Linked DNA regions of Kluyveromyces lactis. The protein of the gene in region 1 purifies or fractionates together with the protein of each later gene. This does not show direct contact. Links are inferred from orthologs where the notes say so. Each region holds a gene or a part of one and is shown on either strand. Other genes may lie near its edges.

The links.
Region 2: the proteins of PSE1 (region 1) and YRA1 purify together in Saccharomyces cerevisiae (affinity purification with mass spectrometry; 4 studies listed by BioGRID). This does not show direct contact. The link is inferred for Kluyveromyces lactis from reciprocal best matches to the Saccharomyces cerevisiae genes PSE1 and YRA1.

What each region holds. Positions count from the first base shown.
Region 1 is NC_006039.1:1,220,612-1,230,027, forward strand, and holds PSE1 (importin PSE1), read right to left. Parts: upstream 5,792-9,416; coding exon 2,519-5,791; downstream 1-2,518. Other genes in the region: KLLA0_C14113g (uncharacterized protein), read left to right, coding at 1-1,258; PXR1 (telomerase inhibitor), read right to left, coding at 1,291-2,106; KLLA0_C14190g (CBS domain-containing protein), read right to left, coding at 6,438-8,225; KLLA0_C14212g (uncharacterized protein), read right to left, coding at 8,608-9,416. UniProt on the Saccharomyces cerevisiae protein: Functions in nuclear protein import as nuclear transport receptor. Serves as receptor for classical and arginine/glycine-rich nuclear localization signals (cNLS and rg-NLS) in cargo substrates.
Region 2 is NC_006041.1:255,499-262,005, reverse strand, and holds YRA1 (RNA-binding protein YRA1), read right to left. Parts: upstream 5,048-6,507; coding exon 4,793-5,047; intron 3,557-4,792; coding exon 3,143-3,556; downstream 1-3,142. Other genes in the region: ORT1 (Ort1p), read left to right, coding at 1-111; KLLA0_E02817g (uncharacterized protein), read right to left, coding at 238-1,152; KLLA0_E02795g (uncharacterized protein), read right to left, coding at 1,490-1,657; COI1 (Coi1p), read left to right, coding at 2,387-2,710; AFI1 (Afi1p), read left to right, coding at 5,889-6,507. UniProt on the Saccharomyces cerevisiae protein: RNA-binding RNA annealing protein. May have a role in pre-mRNA metabolism. Component the TREX complex, which operates in coupling transcription elongation to mRNA export.

The DNA of each region.
Region 1 (9,416 bases):
TCTTTCTGAACCAGCCGATTCCATTTCTAGATCAGATCCATCCTGGGATTTGGATTTGTATAAGCGTTACACCTCAGTGGTAGATGCACTACACAATTACACTAACATTTTGGGATTCTTCGCAGGTAATGAAGTTACCAACAACTCTACCAACACAGAAGCCTCGGCTTTTGTGAAGGCTGCCGTTAGAGATACCAAGAAATATATCAAAGATAAAGGGTACAGATCTATCCCTGTTGGTTACTCGTCCAACGATGACGAGGACACCAGAGTCGTCATGGCTGACTACTTTGCATGCGGTGATGAAGATGTGAAGGTTGATTTCTATGGTATCAACATGTATGAATGGTGTGGTAAATCTACATTCCAAGAATCTGGTTATGCTGATAGAACGAAAGAGTTTTCCAACCTTTCAGTTCCAATTTTCTTCTCAGAATATGGTTGTAACGAGGTGAAACCTAGACAATTTCAGGATGTTGCTTCTTTATATGGTGATGATATGACTGATGTTTGGTCAGGTGGGATTGTTTACATGTACTTTGAGGAGGACAACGAATATGGATTGGTTTCTATTGATGACGATAAGGTAAAAACCCTAACTGATTACAACAATCTAAAATCCGCCCTTGCCAGTATCTCGCCAACATCCGCTACTAAAGATAAGGCCACTACCACCAGTTTAGAATGTCCTTCCACCGGTATATACTGGAAAGCCTCGACAGATTTACCCCCAACTCCAGACAATTCAACTTGTGAATGTCTTGAACAAGGTCTTTCATGTATAGTAGCCGACGATGTTGCTACTAAAGATTATGCTGATTTGTTTGGTATTGTATGTGCGGACATAGATTGTTCAGATATCACAAACAATGCAACAACTGGTAAATATGGGGCATACTCTTTCTGTGACTCAAAAACTAAACTTTCCTACCTTTTGAACAAGTATTACGAAGAAAATGATAAAAACGAATCTGCTTGTTCGTTCAGCGGTTCAGCTACACTTGTGTCAGCTTCAAGCACTGCCTCAAGCTGTAATGCTGTCCTATCATCAGCAACTGCAAATGCCTCCGGAGGTTCCAGTTCTGGAACCAGCAGTAGCAGTGGATCTAGCTCAAGTTCTTCCTCTTCCTCATCATCATCGAAATCATCTTCTTCTGCTTCAAACTTGGAAGTGAGAAAATCAGGGACCTCCTTTGCTGCGCTTATGGTGTGCACCATCTTTTTCATTGCTGTCGAATGCAGTGTAATATTAGTTTGATATCTTAAATAAAAGTATACGTATGTTATCTATCAGTCTGTTACCATAAATATTTCGTTCAGAGCTTTAGCATCCATCACTGCAGCCCGCTTTTGTCTGATCCATTTCGCGCGGACCGAGAGCCTAGTAGATACGGCATCTGGAACAACAGCAGCTGAATCTCTAGGTTTCAGCATTTGGTCTCGAGTAATTTCGTTGGTATCTTTTGAATGTTTATCCTTGAGTTTCTTCTCTTTCTTTTCCTTCTTCTCTTTCTTAACCTTCTTCTCCTTCTTGTCCTTCTTCTCTTTCTTCTCTTTCTTCTCCTTTTTGACCTTCTTAACCTTCTTCTCTTTTTTTACCTTCTTTGTCTTCTTCCGATCGCTAACCTCACTATCAGACGATCCCTCTACCGGTCTCTTCTTACCCATACTATAACTTATGAGTTGCTTATTTTCAGCATCCCATGTACTTGCAAGGACTTCTCCCTTCACAAAGTGTATCCCCCATTTCCCGTTTATAATATTGTCGGTTCTTTGCTTATCCAATTCATCTGAAATTGTCTGCTCATTACCATTTAATCTTCCAAGTAATCTTTGGAAGACGTCCAATCCCGTACATTCACCACTATCAAATTCATCTTGCTTCTCTTTCTTTTTGAGTTTCGCTCCCAACCCAAGATTGTCATCTTTGATAGAAACCTTGATATGTGATGTTGTAGAATCTGGAACTAATCCCAAACCGGAACCAGGTTTCCATCCTAGTTTCTCTAGATGTTTGTGTCCAAATCTTGATGTATTGTTACTCCAAGTTGTGTTTCTTGGATCCAATCCAAACCTTTGTTTATTCCTTGCTGCTGCCAAACCCATCTTGAAATTACTGAATAATGTATTTATATTATGATAATGAAAAGTGTGCTCTGCCAAATGGGGACAGTTCACAATGAATCTTTTTGCTATCAAATACTTTCAGTCTCATTTCATCTCATCTCATCTCATCGCTTTAACAATTCTTTTCAGTATTTTTTTCTTCACAGGATTTCAAGAAAAAGAAAAAAAGAGTTCTCTATTAAGAATAATGATAATGGAAATTGTTGGTGCCAGGCGGGTTGCATAGTATAGCAAAACTGATACAAGCTTGAATCTATTCCGTTCAATAAGTAGAAATGTCTATGCAGTATAAGAAGACTCATATGCTAATTCATAAAAATCAGTATAGAGGGCTAAACATGTACATATATCTGATAATTGGCCTTGGGAAATTAAACCCACGAATCATAATTCAAGCGAACCATTTGTGTATGGTTTGCATGATTTCCGGTGGGTATCGTTGAAGTAGAGCAGATGCTTGTTCCTGTGGGATAGTACTTAGTAGTTTTTTTGCAGATTCTACCACAGCAGTAGCATTTTTTCCACCGATAGACTTTTGATGTAAGGCTTGTATCACATAATCAACGATTTCGGCTGTGTTACCTTGAATCACAGGCGAATTGTGGTCTATCAATTGTGCCAACATTCTATAATTGAACGCGGCACATTCTTCATCGTGGATAACGGGGAAAGTCTTCAACCAGTTGGCAGTATACTGTTCAAAGTTTGGAATGCTGGAGCCGTAACTGCTCAAGATCTTTGCAATGGCGCAAGATGCATTTTCCGAGGAATTAACGTTATCTTCAGATCTGGATTCTGGCATGTTGACGATTTGGAATAAAGTTTCCAACGATCCCAAACATATGTCAGAGTAGGTGTTGGGGGCATATTGTGCACATACTCCGAGTAGGTATGCAGTACCCTGGCGAATGGAGGGTTCAGGGAATGTGAGGCACTCCTTAATTTTCTGAACGAAATGCTGTTTGAAAGGTGCAGAGTTATCGCCAGTGTATTCTATCATATCAGCAATTGCAATCAAGGCGAACAATAAAATGAATACCTCAGTCTCCTGCAAGTATGAATGTATTATTGGCCATAAAGTCTGGAACTGCTGTAGATAAGAAACACCTGCTGATTTGAAAACAGCAGCTAAAGATTTGTTAATCTCGTCAAGCAAATCTTCATCGGTATACTCATCAAGATCGTCATCAACATCTTCGTTGTATTCGTCATCCTGATCGTAACGGGATTTTGTTCTTTCGTAGACGTCGGTTAAGTTATTGTTCACACCTTGTGTAAATTGTGACAATTGCTCTTGATTTAATCCGTTGTTTCCGACAATTCCCAAACAATCAACAAGAGCATAGTGATACGACTTAGTAACTTCTGGCATCGGTTCAGAAATAATTCCAGAAATTAGCTTATTAGATGCAATTTGCCATAATTGTAAAACGATATCGTTGTCCTGTCCTACAGCCGATACCAAAGAGGTAAACAAAGCAGGAATTAAAGTAGCACCACGAGCTCTAACACCATCATGTAAGTAGAAATCAATAGATGGGACGGCAACTTCTGTAAGGATTTCCTTAACGTATGATGCAAAGAAACTTTTCAACACAGTGGCGTAAACTTGTAGAAGCTCCATAGCAGTCACTTTATCATCTAAAACTGAAGTATGAATAGCGATGTGCTTACCTTGAATTTGCACAACATCCCAATCTGTATACTGTTGGTAGTTTGCAGCTTCCTCTTCTTCAATTAAACTAACGTCCTGGGTAGCCTTGGCAGTTTCAAGTAGTGGCGGAATAACTACATCCAATAACGGAACAAAATCCTCACGAAGAATCCTGCAAACTCTACTCCAACTTTGTTCAAGGTAAGTCTTTAGAGGATCGTCGTCCTGAATACCTTCATTTTGATAAGTTATGAATAACTGGATCAATTCTTGAGAGTAGGAGGCAAACTTTTCTTTGCCCACAGCTAATGCAATAAGAGTAGAACATTCCATACACTTACCCTTCAAGACTCTGCTTTCAGTACCTGTATCGGTTCTCAACACGTTTATCAATAATGGCATTAATGTATCATAGTATTTGATGAATTTCTTTTCGGCTGCTTCTGCGATAAATGCGATAGTAGTTAAGGCCTGTTCTTGAACGTACAGCTTGGAACTTTGCAACATGCTTAATAAGTTAGTTAAAAGACTATCCAAGTAAGGTTCCATAATCGATTGCGTAGCTTGTTCGGAGAAGTTCACCAAGGCAGCCGCTGCATGGGTCTGAACTCTGTCGACAGAGCTTGAAGTGAGCTTAGAGATTAAAGCAGGCAAAATTTTTTCATGCGAAGTGCTTTGAATGAGAGGAGCGAAATCAGTGGATATCTGACCCAATACATTACAGCAACCGTATTGAACTCTTGGATGTGGATCATCGATCAGTGGAACAACCATTTCCAAAATCTTATCTATCTCGATCATTAATACATCACGGCAACCTTCTGCAGCAGATGATAACGCCATCAATGCTGCGAACCTCTCTCTCCATTCAGAAGATGTGATCATTTGTTGTAAGAATTGGAATAAAGGTGCGGCCAAGTATTTTCCGTTTAATTTCAAGGCAACACGATCCAAAGCTTGACGTGCCATATCGTAGGTATTTTCCTCATTATCTTCTTCTACATCATTCGAATTTTGCCATTCGATTGCTTGGTCATCATCGATGGAAACTTCAGTCATCATGACAAGGGTATCAAGTACCACTGATTGGGCGTAATTTTGATTATTTTTACACATCTGAGGGGCGCATTCACTGAAGACAGTTAACAACTCCAAAGCAGTCGTTCTGGCACTCGGTTCTAAATCTTTATTCTTGATGACCATATCTGCAAATTGGATAATTTGATCGAACATATCTTTGAAGAGTTTAGGAGCCAACTCAACTAATTCGATCAATGATTCGAATACGGCGGCCAAGGCCTCATCTTTACTGTCATCCAAAAACTTTGGCAAACTGTTCAAAAGACTTGGTAATAGAACACCTAGTTTGGCCCAGTTATTCTTTGGAAGCTGTTTGAAGTACCCAACAAACGCTGTAACAGCTGCAATCTTGACTTCATCGCTAGGATCCGTGAATCCACTCTCAAAGATAGGCAAAGCATGGTTGATGTCAATGGAATTGATTAGATGAGGCATACTTGAGAAAATTCTGAAACTAGATTCTCTGAAATTTGGATCTGTGTTTTTGATAGCTTCGAATAACGTTTGGAGTAACGGAGGCCACTCAGGTAATTCTTCTAACGCACATTCTGCAATTGCATCAGATAATTTGTGTCTAATATTGTTGGGTCTTTGGGAGATAAAACCCTTCAAAAGTGTATCTCTAATTTGCTTCAAGGCTTCCTTCGAAATATGGGTAATATTTTTGGCAATGATTATAGTCTTAGATGAAGGTGGCGCTCTCAAAGCTAGCTTACGGAACAAAACTGCAGACAAACCTGCAGTAGTCAAATCATCAGAATATGCAGATTGTTCCGCTAGAAACATCAACAAAACTTCGATGTGCTCCGGTGTAATCCAGTTGTTATTCAAAGCATCTTCTGCCGCCGAACGAATCGCATTGTCTGGTGATGCAAAGCCCTGTAGCAACTTCACCAAGGTGCTGTTCACTTCATCCGGTAGAACTGACATTGTTTCGAATCAGCCACCACAAAAAATGATTCAAAGGAAAAGGATAGTAGAAGAACAAAGAACAAACAAAGTAAACTATACTGCTATCAGCTTTTCGATTCTCTCCCTCAATAGAGATTATTGCTTACAAGCTCAATTTTCCTACCGTCAAAATATACTGATTGCAACGAAGGCGAACTTATGTTCAATGCTAAAACTTCAGCAAAAACCAGTAACTGTAACATAAAATGTACTACTATTCAATTTTCAATATATCTGAAATATCTGATCTTAGAACGAATTGTTCTTTCATGTATAATTTGGAATCACAGGAACAGAGAAGGAAGAAAAATTTGGCAGGTCAAACTAATAGTGCATCGTCCATAGTGATATGCGGGTAACACATAGTGGTGCTCTCTGTAATATCAAGATCGTCGTCATCTGTCATTGGACAGTGTTCTTAATATAGCAGAAGAAGGAAACGGTTAATTGATGTGAATATATTTCCATATTTGCTTTGTATTTCTGATAGATGTTCTAGTGCTTCTTTTCTTTTTTCTTGGCAGCCAATTGTTTATTCATTTAATAAGAAAGAATTATGAGTGGAAATGTATAATCTATATACATCGGTATATGGCAAGGATAACCAGTAACTTCCCCGAATGTTTCATTTTAAAGCTTTTCCCACCATAAAACCAGCGAAGAAGACTATACATGCCTGCATGTATATCTTCAATGAGGAAGTATGAAACACTGCGGTGAATGGAGTTGCCATCGTTTTAAAAAACTGACGTAGGTGGTGGAAAACACCTGACTGCTTATCATGCAGAATAAAAAGCAAAGGCATATAGTGACGGGAGCCCTGCATAACAATGAACTCGTCATAAATTTGATGCAATTTTTCATTAGTTTTTATCTCGATATCCATGTACTCAATGGAGTACGGTGATTCGATTCCATAAGTTTCTTTCACTTTGGCTACAATCTCATTTAAGACGTCTTTTTCAAAGTTTACTCCGGACTGAGTCTTGAATTTCATAGAGCCTAGAACTTGATTATCCTTATTAGGCTTCACGACGGTAACTTTCAATCGGAATTTGGTATGTTTTCCATTTTCGAAGAATTTTTTTTGTAATAATGTGGAGCTTCTTCTTCCAGAAAACTGTTCTGGGATCGGTTGCTGTGATTGTGAAGGATATTGTTGATGTTGTTGTTGCAAATGAAGTTGCGATTGTTGTAACTGTTTGTGGGAGCTAAAGTTACCTATTGTTTGTGTTAAATCTACCAAAGATAATTGACTAGAAGAAGCACTTTCATTATCAGAGGCATCAAAAGATTTCCAAAAATAATTTATAGATAAAGAAGGAACTTCTAGCTCAGATGCTGATCCAGTCCTGTAGTTTTCATCAACATCTTTCTCTACAAGCAAAGAACCCAAGGGAGAGTCAACCGAATTTATCTTCAAATAAGGTTCTTCAATAGCAGACTGTGACGAAACGTTTTTTGAGGTTGTAGCAAATTGACAACGGAGCGCAGCATGTGTTAATTGAAGGACACTGATCAAACCTAGAATATTTCCTGTGTCATCAATAACAGGTAAATTCAAAAAATGACCCTCGTACATCATTCGAAGAGCTGAATGTATACCTAGACTTTGGAAGGCAAAGTTTGGCCTCGTTGTCATTACTCTAGCCAAGGTGCATGACTCTGGATCGACGGAATTTCCTTGACCTAATACTCGACAAACGAAATCTTTACTAGTGAAGATGCCTATTATATTGCAGTCATTGTTATTTCTGATGTCAGATTTGGTCGAAGAATCATGTATTAAAATAGCAGTACTTTTATTCTCAGACATCATGCTCATTGCTTTTGAGACAGTGGTCGTAGGACTAGCAAATAGCGGAGTTGTGTTGTACACATCAGAGTCCAAAATAGACTCTAAGACAGGCGTCTCCATGGATTCTATCAAAGTTGCTATGTCTTGCAACAATTTATGTCTCGTCATGGTTGCTTCATTCTCGATAACATCTTGAATGGCATTGTTCAATTTCACACTGTCTTGCGCCATGATTTCTAACCTACGCATTGCTTGGTGGAAACATTTCGTAATGTCTAAGATCCCAACGATCTGCTTAGAATTAGGGTCAATTATGGGTAGATGTCTAATTTTCTGTTCGACCATTATTAGGAGAGCGCTGGTAACCGGCATTGATGAGGGCGTAAGAACCGGAGTTGTCGATAATACGTCCCGAGCAACCAAACCTTCCTTGAAAGCTAGATCTTTGGTAGTGATAATACCTTCCAAATGCTCACCACTGGTGACTAGAACACAGTACTTTCTTTTACTAGTCATTAGTTTCGCAACATTGTAGATTGAGTCATCGCCTGTACAAAATAATGGCTGTTCAAGCGGCAAATTCGCCACCGTGGGAATTCCAAGCTCCAATACCATGAAGAATCAAGTATACCGCTGACTGCTACTTGAAGATCACAAACCAAACTTCGTACTAGCTTCTTCTGAATGCCAGGTTTATGTGATGCAGTGACTGTTGTTTATGTTCACAAGAGTAGCTTTTTCACCCATTGGTAACTTTTTTAAACCCTTAAATAGTGACATGAAATTCGCGTGTCAAATTTAAAGTTACGTCGAGAGTATGACGAAAGGGTCTCCAATGTGATCAGAAAACGAAGACATAAACCCAAAGGTGATACATAGTAGGGATTTATACAGGGCGTTAGAGTCAAAGTTCAGTTTCCAATTTAGATATTTTACTGTTACAATTATCATTTACTATTTACATGAACATATTATTGAAGGGTAAGATGAAGAATAACTAGAAGGAGAAGGAAGGAAAACCTAAATTGGCATCAAGATCGAAGAAGTTTGAAAGGTCAAGATTTAAATCCATTGGTGCATCTACCGAGGAAGCAGCCGAGTACAAAGGATCTTTTTCGAATGCATTTGATGATAAATTGGCTGATGGTAGGTTTAACTTGACCAATCTCTTTTGAAGGTGAATCCAAACATCCGCATCTATCAAATGTAACGAAGAGTGAAGGTAGAAATTAGTTCTAATAGTTTCTGCATGTTCTACATCAAGGCCCCATTTTCTGGCAATTGATGTTACTACTTTCTGCGGAATTGGCTTATTGCAGAGCTTGAAGTCCCAAAACCTGGTCGAAACGTCTAATATTCTGTCCATTTGAAGGATTTGGATAAAATATGCAAATAAACATTGTGTTTTATTATAAAACAAGCTTGTTTTTAATAGGTCATACTTCTTCGATTGAGTTGCAAGGGAAATGAAACATTTTTCAGTAAGATCATATAGTTCTTTCACGAGCTGCAATTTCGAGACAGATACGGTAGGTGCGTTGATGTTTTCAACAACAGTTGATGCTGCATGTCGTTCAGTCATCTCCAAATCTTTTTCCACCAATGCCAATTTGAGTAAGATACTGAGGAAACATAAAGAAACTCTCAAATAAGATTGTTGAATGTGCTTTGCAAGTACGTAGCGGAACTGAGCAGTGTCTTTTTCATATTTATTGAACATAAGATCGGAAAGGAAACTGTAGAACTTGAAACAGTTGAAAACCATCATTTCAAATAGAGTAGAATGCAGCCTATAAAAGGTGGCAT
Region 2 (6,507 bases), on another chromosome or scaffold:
ACTCATGGCATTACTGGTTTTTATCGTGGTCTCGGTATAACTTTGATCAGAGCAGCACCGGCTAATGCTACTGTATTTTACACTTACGAAACACTGAAGAAAATGTTTTAAACTTGTACCTCTCGCAAATTAACCTATTTACTTTGAGGTTGACTCTGAAGCATCCAAATGCACTCATAATATATAAAGAATAATCAAAAATTCAGAATAGACTACGATAGAGGATAATATAATAGATTAGATAGACAAAGTGTTCTTCTTGTTACTTTTGGTGACTGAACGCAGAAGTTTGATAAATTTCAAAGACCATTGAATGAAACCTTCCTTGAAGAAGAATAAAAATGCTGCTGTCATGATACTTTGAACCAACTTAACAGCAACACCATTATAAAGTCCGGAGACCCCATCTTTTTTCACAATTTCGACAATCAACGACCACATCGATTTTTGATGTTTTGGATCGTTCTGCATCAAATGCATTCTAGTCTTTAATGTGATATAGGGATACGTGGTTCCTGTAGCTGCTAATTTACCTATGGCCCCCAACAAGAATGCCCAACTTGGACTCAAGACTTTTTTCCTTTGTAGTCTCAAAACAAGGTTCTTCAATTGCTCGTAGACAGTATACTGAATGATAGGGTTTGAAACAAGAACTAAAGCAGGCTTCAACCCATTGAGAAGAGTCAATGGACCATCTGTCTTCACAATGTCTATGACTGTTCTTAAGGTCGAATGGTTGCTCTTAGCAACTGTCATTCTGGTGTTAGCAACCCAAATTGGATTACTGGCAACAGCAGTCATCGAACCAGCAATGGTACTGGCCAGGATCGACTCCCAAGTACTTAAGTACTGTTTCGTTGTCAATGTTCTTGCAGTCTTTGCGCACCATTCGTAGAAATAGTAATAAACGAAATTAGTCGTAGCCATCCCGTAGACAGCACTTTCCAAACCTAAAAAGTATCCAATGATACCATTCTTGTTATAGATCTCCTTGATAGTCTCTAGCTTAGGTCTCGCCTCGTTTTCCTTCGTTTGAAGGTTAGTGGTGATGGTGACTAAAGGGTAGGTCACTGCGATTGAAGCTGCACCACCCAAAGATCCAGCAATGGCGTGCGCTAATTCATCCACATCGTTAGGATTAATTTCTGACATCTCACAAATAGCTCATACACACTTCTGGGATGGTCTTGCGAGCGATGACTTACTGCGACTCACTGTGAATCAGAGTATGGAATCTTTTTTTCAAAATTACATAAATGTTATTATTTCACATCTTTAAAAATTCAGGCTTTTGACTAAGTAAGTTTTCAGTTGTGCACATTCAGAATCTTAAGTAGTTAGAAAAATAGAGATATGAATAAGATCGGTCTATGATTTACAGGAGAGAAGTTGATAGAAGCAGTTGCGCCAGCCAAGTGTTTGGGGCAGCAAAAAGGATCATCAACTTTAGAATATTATATAAAAGCATATAAACAGGAATGGTGTTTCATCATTTAGTTTCAACGGCAGAACCGGACTTCTTCGTTTCGATTCCATGCTCTTCGGCGATTTCTTCCCAAGATTTGGCAGAACCCTTGGCATGTCCCGCCTTTCTTTCATCCATTTGACCCTTTGCAACGTACAAAGAACCCATACCGATAGCAGTCATTAGAGCCATGCCACCCCTAAGAAGAAAGGTTTTTAAGAGAGTGTATATCCAGGTCGACCCTAGACATCCATCCGCTTTTTGAAGGTTAGTAAAGTGATGAAATTGATCGGAGCGTATAAAGCAACCTCGTGCGTTAGAAATTCTGTATCAGTGTCATCTTAACATACCAGAAAGATTTAGGAGTATTCATGCTGAGAGACGGTCTATTTTTCTTGTCTACTTAATTCGTCCAATCCGAAGATACTAGTCTCTTCTCTTGCAGGTTGCAGGTTGCAGGTTGCAGCTTCTCGAACTCGGTCAATATCTAGGCACAAATAAATAAATGAACAGGTAGTTGCTTAACGTTATTACAATCTGTATGATAATGGTGTGTGGAATAAGGTGAAATCACCATGAGGTCAACATTTTTTTTCTTTCTTTCTTTATTTCCGCAATGGGTTACGGCGAACCTTTCCTCAGCGAAAGAAATCTAAGGAAAATAAAGATTTGAATTCAAATATGAGCAGGAATCAGAGATACTGAGCGAAAGTAGTAGAGGAATCAGTTAAATAAAAAACAGATTGAGAACAGCATCATAGAGCGTGTTGATAAAAAAATAGATCCTGAACGGAAGAAGGAACTATTCGGATTGAGTGACGAACCATATACCAACTTTGAGTTTTTATTTTTATTTGGCTTTTGGTTTCTAGCATTTAGCATCAGAGAGCAAACTTGGTAGATACAATCTTTTCAATAAAAATGTCTAACCCATTCCAAAATATTGGTAGAAACTTTGCGTATTTGTGTATTGGTCTTACTGCTTCTATAGTTATCGTCAAGACCGTTGTACGTGATGCTAAAGTTTCCAAGTTCGACCCGCAGAATTTGAGTGGGGATGAGAAGAAAGATGCAGATTCTTATTACGCAAACCCTGCTCTGGTGAAACCAGGGTTCCCCATGAAGAAAGAAGAAGAAACCACGGAAATAAAAAGGAAAAGTGAATTTGAAGGGGCCGGTTTATCCTACAATACAAGAAAGCGTGGTGATAGATTAGGGTTCTTGGATAGAAGAAGTAACGAATGATTAATAAGCAAGATTTTAATTCTGCAAGGCAATACACGAACCTACCCATCACACTTATTTATTAACAACACACACAAACACTGCAATGACTAAATGAAACAATCTAGAAATATATCCTGTTCTTTACTGAAAGATTCCTCATGTAAATAGTGCTTAAAGAAAGTGAAATAAAATACAAACTATTGATATCAATATTATAATAAAGTTTAGCTAGGTAAGAAAAGATAGGCCGAGCACATAAGAAAGATACGGATTTTTTTGATTGAGAAACCACGCAGTCACACCGGTTGAAATTGAGGAATATAAAACAAACAACAAATGAACTGAACTTCTAGGATGTCTAACGAATAGATTCGAAAGCAGAGACAATCCGTTCGTTATTAAGGAAGACTTTATAATTTCTCAGTCCAGTAATTTCAAGAACGCAATATCTTATTTGGATTCTTCAAAATAGTCAGCCATTTCCTTGTCTAAGTCTTCCAAAGACTTCTTTTCTGGCTTAGCTCTTTTCTTTTGCTTAGCAGCAATGGCTTTCTTGTTTGGACCGGCTGGTTTCTTCTTAGGTTGAGGCTTTGTTGGAGCTGCCTTCTTGTTTGGCGCGGCAGCCTGAGCATTCTGTACAGGGCGGATTCTGTCCAATAATGTCTTTCTGCTTGGATCGACAATCAACGTCAATCTCAATTTGGATTTACCACCATCAATTGGTGCGTTGTGGAATTTCTTTACAGCTAAGTTAGCTTGTTCTGCGTTCTTAAAGGTAATAGTGGCCATACCAGTGGAGTTACCCCTTTCGTTGTAACTCAACAAAGCTTTTTGGACACCACCGACTTGATGGTTGAAAAATTCCTAGTAATAATAAGGGAGCAAAATTTTTGTTAGTGAAACTATTCATAGATAACTGAAAACAGCGGAGTCTTCAATGAATAGTCCTGTAGGAAATCATTCATGTTTACAATTCATCATACATGTACGACCCGGTCAATTCTGTCACGATATGAAGTTAACTCTTAAACAGTAAAATATACCACAAATGGGTTTCATTAGGTTTCGATTTGAAGGTAGGATCTAACATGACAACCAACAAAAAGTAAGTATACTATAACTTTTCTCTTTTCTATTTTTTTTCTTGGAGAGTAAATCTGGAGTCAGTGATGAGATCTCAACCAGACAAGATAGAACATGTTCATAGCAGAATGACAAATGAAAATCGATTTCAAATCCAGCATACCCATCTCGATTTATTACATTCATTGAAACTTGCTTTTCAGTGGCGTTTCAATTTTTGCCAATTTTTTTGAAGTTGTCAAACACGACGACCTTGCTAAAAATGTCGCACTATCTTGAAGATTGAGGCATCAAGCTAAACACACACCAAGGAAGAGGTCAAACTTAATTGTTCCTACAAGGTGTACACCAAGTAATCTTCTTCAAATTCCCAGTTCTTTGCAAAGAGTTAGAAAAAAGAGAATAATACACTGGGCATCATTAAAAAATAGATGCATTGCCAAATGTAATAAATGGTAACAGAAACTCCAGTGACACATAATGTCACAAGAATAGAAGATATGACGAGAAAAAATAGATATACTTCATCTTTTCGGCATTTCCCAATCGTGATTCACTACCGTTTCTCCATCAAATAAAATGTCGTAAATAAACGAAGTTCAGTGCATAATTTTGATGAAAAGTTCTGTCAACTTAGAGGAGAAAAACGGAAAGAAATCACAAAGGAAGGCTTGCTGAAAAGCGAAACCCAGCCAATTGGATAGCTAATTTCGTTTTGTTATATTTCATTAGCTCAATAAAAACTAACTCTGAAATAAATTATTCACACATCAATATCAGACCTCAAAAAAGGTATCGATCGACCGTTTCTTCTTAATCAAATACACGGGAATGTATGATCGTATAGTAAACATAAGGATGGAATTCCACAGGATATATCCGTTGTAAACTTAAATTAACCGCAAGTCTTATTGCAGTTTGATCCGATTTGTTTTCGCAATCAGTACAGTAGCATCTCGACAGTCCTTTTCATTAGAAAAGAACCTACTAAGAGGCCATGGCTAAAATGGGACATACTTTAACAGCGTCTTGGTTAATGTCTCTTGGCAAACCCTCGACATTAACTCTAGTAGAAATAGGAGCTCTTAGCAAAGCTGGCACTAGGGCAGCAGCAGAAGCAGCCTTCTTTGGAACTCTAGAAGGACCGGCACCTGTTCTGGTACGGCTCTTGTTGACTTGCTTAGAAACCTTCTTTGGCCCGGCCTTGTTGTTTCTTCTGGCATGCTTGGCTGAGCCAATAATTTCATCTAATGATTGATCTAGAGCAGACATTGCTTATGAGAGTGTAAAAAAAAGAATCTGATGGGTAGCTGATTCGAAGGAAATAACTTATAAAGTTGCTTGCCTTATGAAGTAGAAACAAAGAGAAATTTGAAGAACAACTTTCATGGAAAAAGGGAAAAAAATTCCAATGGGCAAAAATCTATGGCTCCTTTTATACAAAAAAAATCAAATATCAAACTTTTTGTCCAATTCTTTTCAAGAAAATCAAAACCAGCACGATCAACAAAAGAGGGTAACGATTGTCATTTTCTAAGATCTGCTGCATATGTAACGGTGTACTTACTTCATTCCTGACATGATAAAGATTTTTGTGAATAACAGTCATTTCAAAGACTAAAGATAATGCTCCATAATTTCGTCGAGGGGACTCATTTGTTTCCAACAAACATCGTTTAGCTTTATTTCGTGAATTGTAAGGCCGCAACAACTGAAAAGTAAAATCCGTTGATATATAAGATAGACAGCTATTCGATCAATCTTATGTTCAAATGGATCGCTTCCGCAGATAGACCCAAGTAGGCTGTGGCGGGAATCTTACAACGCTTAGTATCCAAACATTCTTCTATGCCTTCCTGTCATAAGCGAATAGAAGCCGAATTGAATCCATTTACAGTCCGGGTAATTTCATGATTATTTCACTGTTAGCGATATTATTTGGTTCATTTTATTTGATCGGTTCAAAAAGAAAGACGATGATGGGTCAAAATCGTGCTATTTTACAGCGAAATGATACAGACGTCTCACTGGCAAGTTAAATCTCCGAACGACGGTCAGGTGGTAAACGGACTGACTCTGTAATTAAAGAGGAAAGACCGCGCGTTCACCAGTTATGAAACACTCTTCCAAGGTAAAAACAGGATTGAACTTTCACCTACGACAATCTCAAAATGAACACACACACTCTAACCCCAATGTTCAATTTATAATAGCGGCAGAATTTGATAACAAATCTGGGCCGATAATAAAGCATCAATATCCAAAGACAATCCCTGGTTTTAAAACTATTGGGAGTGATTCCACTTGTTCTCATTTGGCCAGTTTGATGATACCGAATAGTGTGGAGAACCATCCAGGTAAACCAGATTTCACTGTTTTTGTCTTATACAAGAATCAAAACGTTTACCAGTTGTTTCCTGTATCCAAAAATAAGACTAAAGGTACTGACTTGGATTCCTCACTGATAATTGAAGAGGAAGACTTTGAAGAAGAACAAGAAAATGGACTGCGAAGTGGTAAGATTGGATCAATTAGAGATGATAGGCATTTAGAGGAAACTGAGCCACCATTATTTTTCTTAAGTGTCGTGAACACGTTTTTAGATAATTCAAATGATCGCGGTGCTTATATAAAAGCCATTGCACTGGGTACTACTATGACAAACTTTTACACATTTAAACCATTGTTAACAATGGTGCTTGATCACTACATGACATCGAATAACAACGATA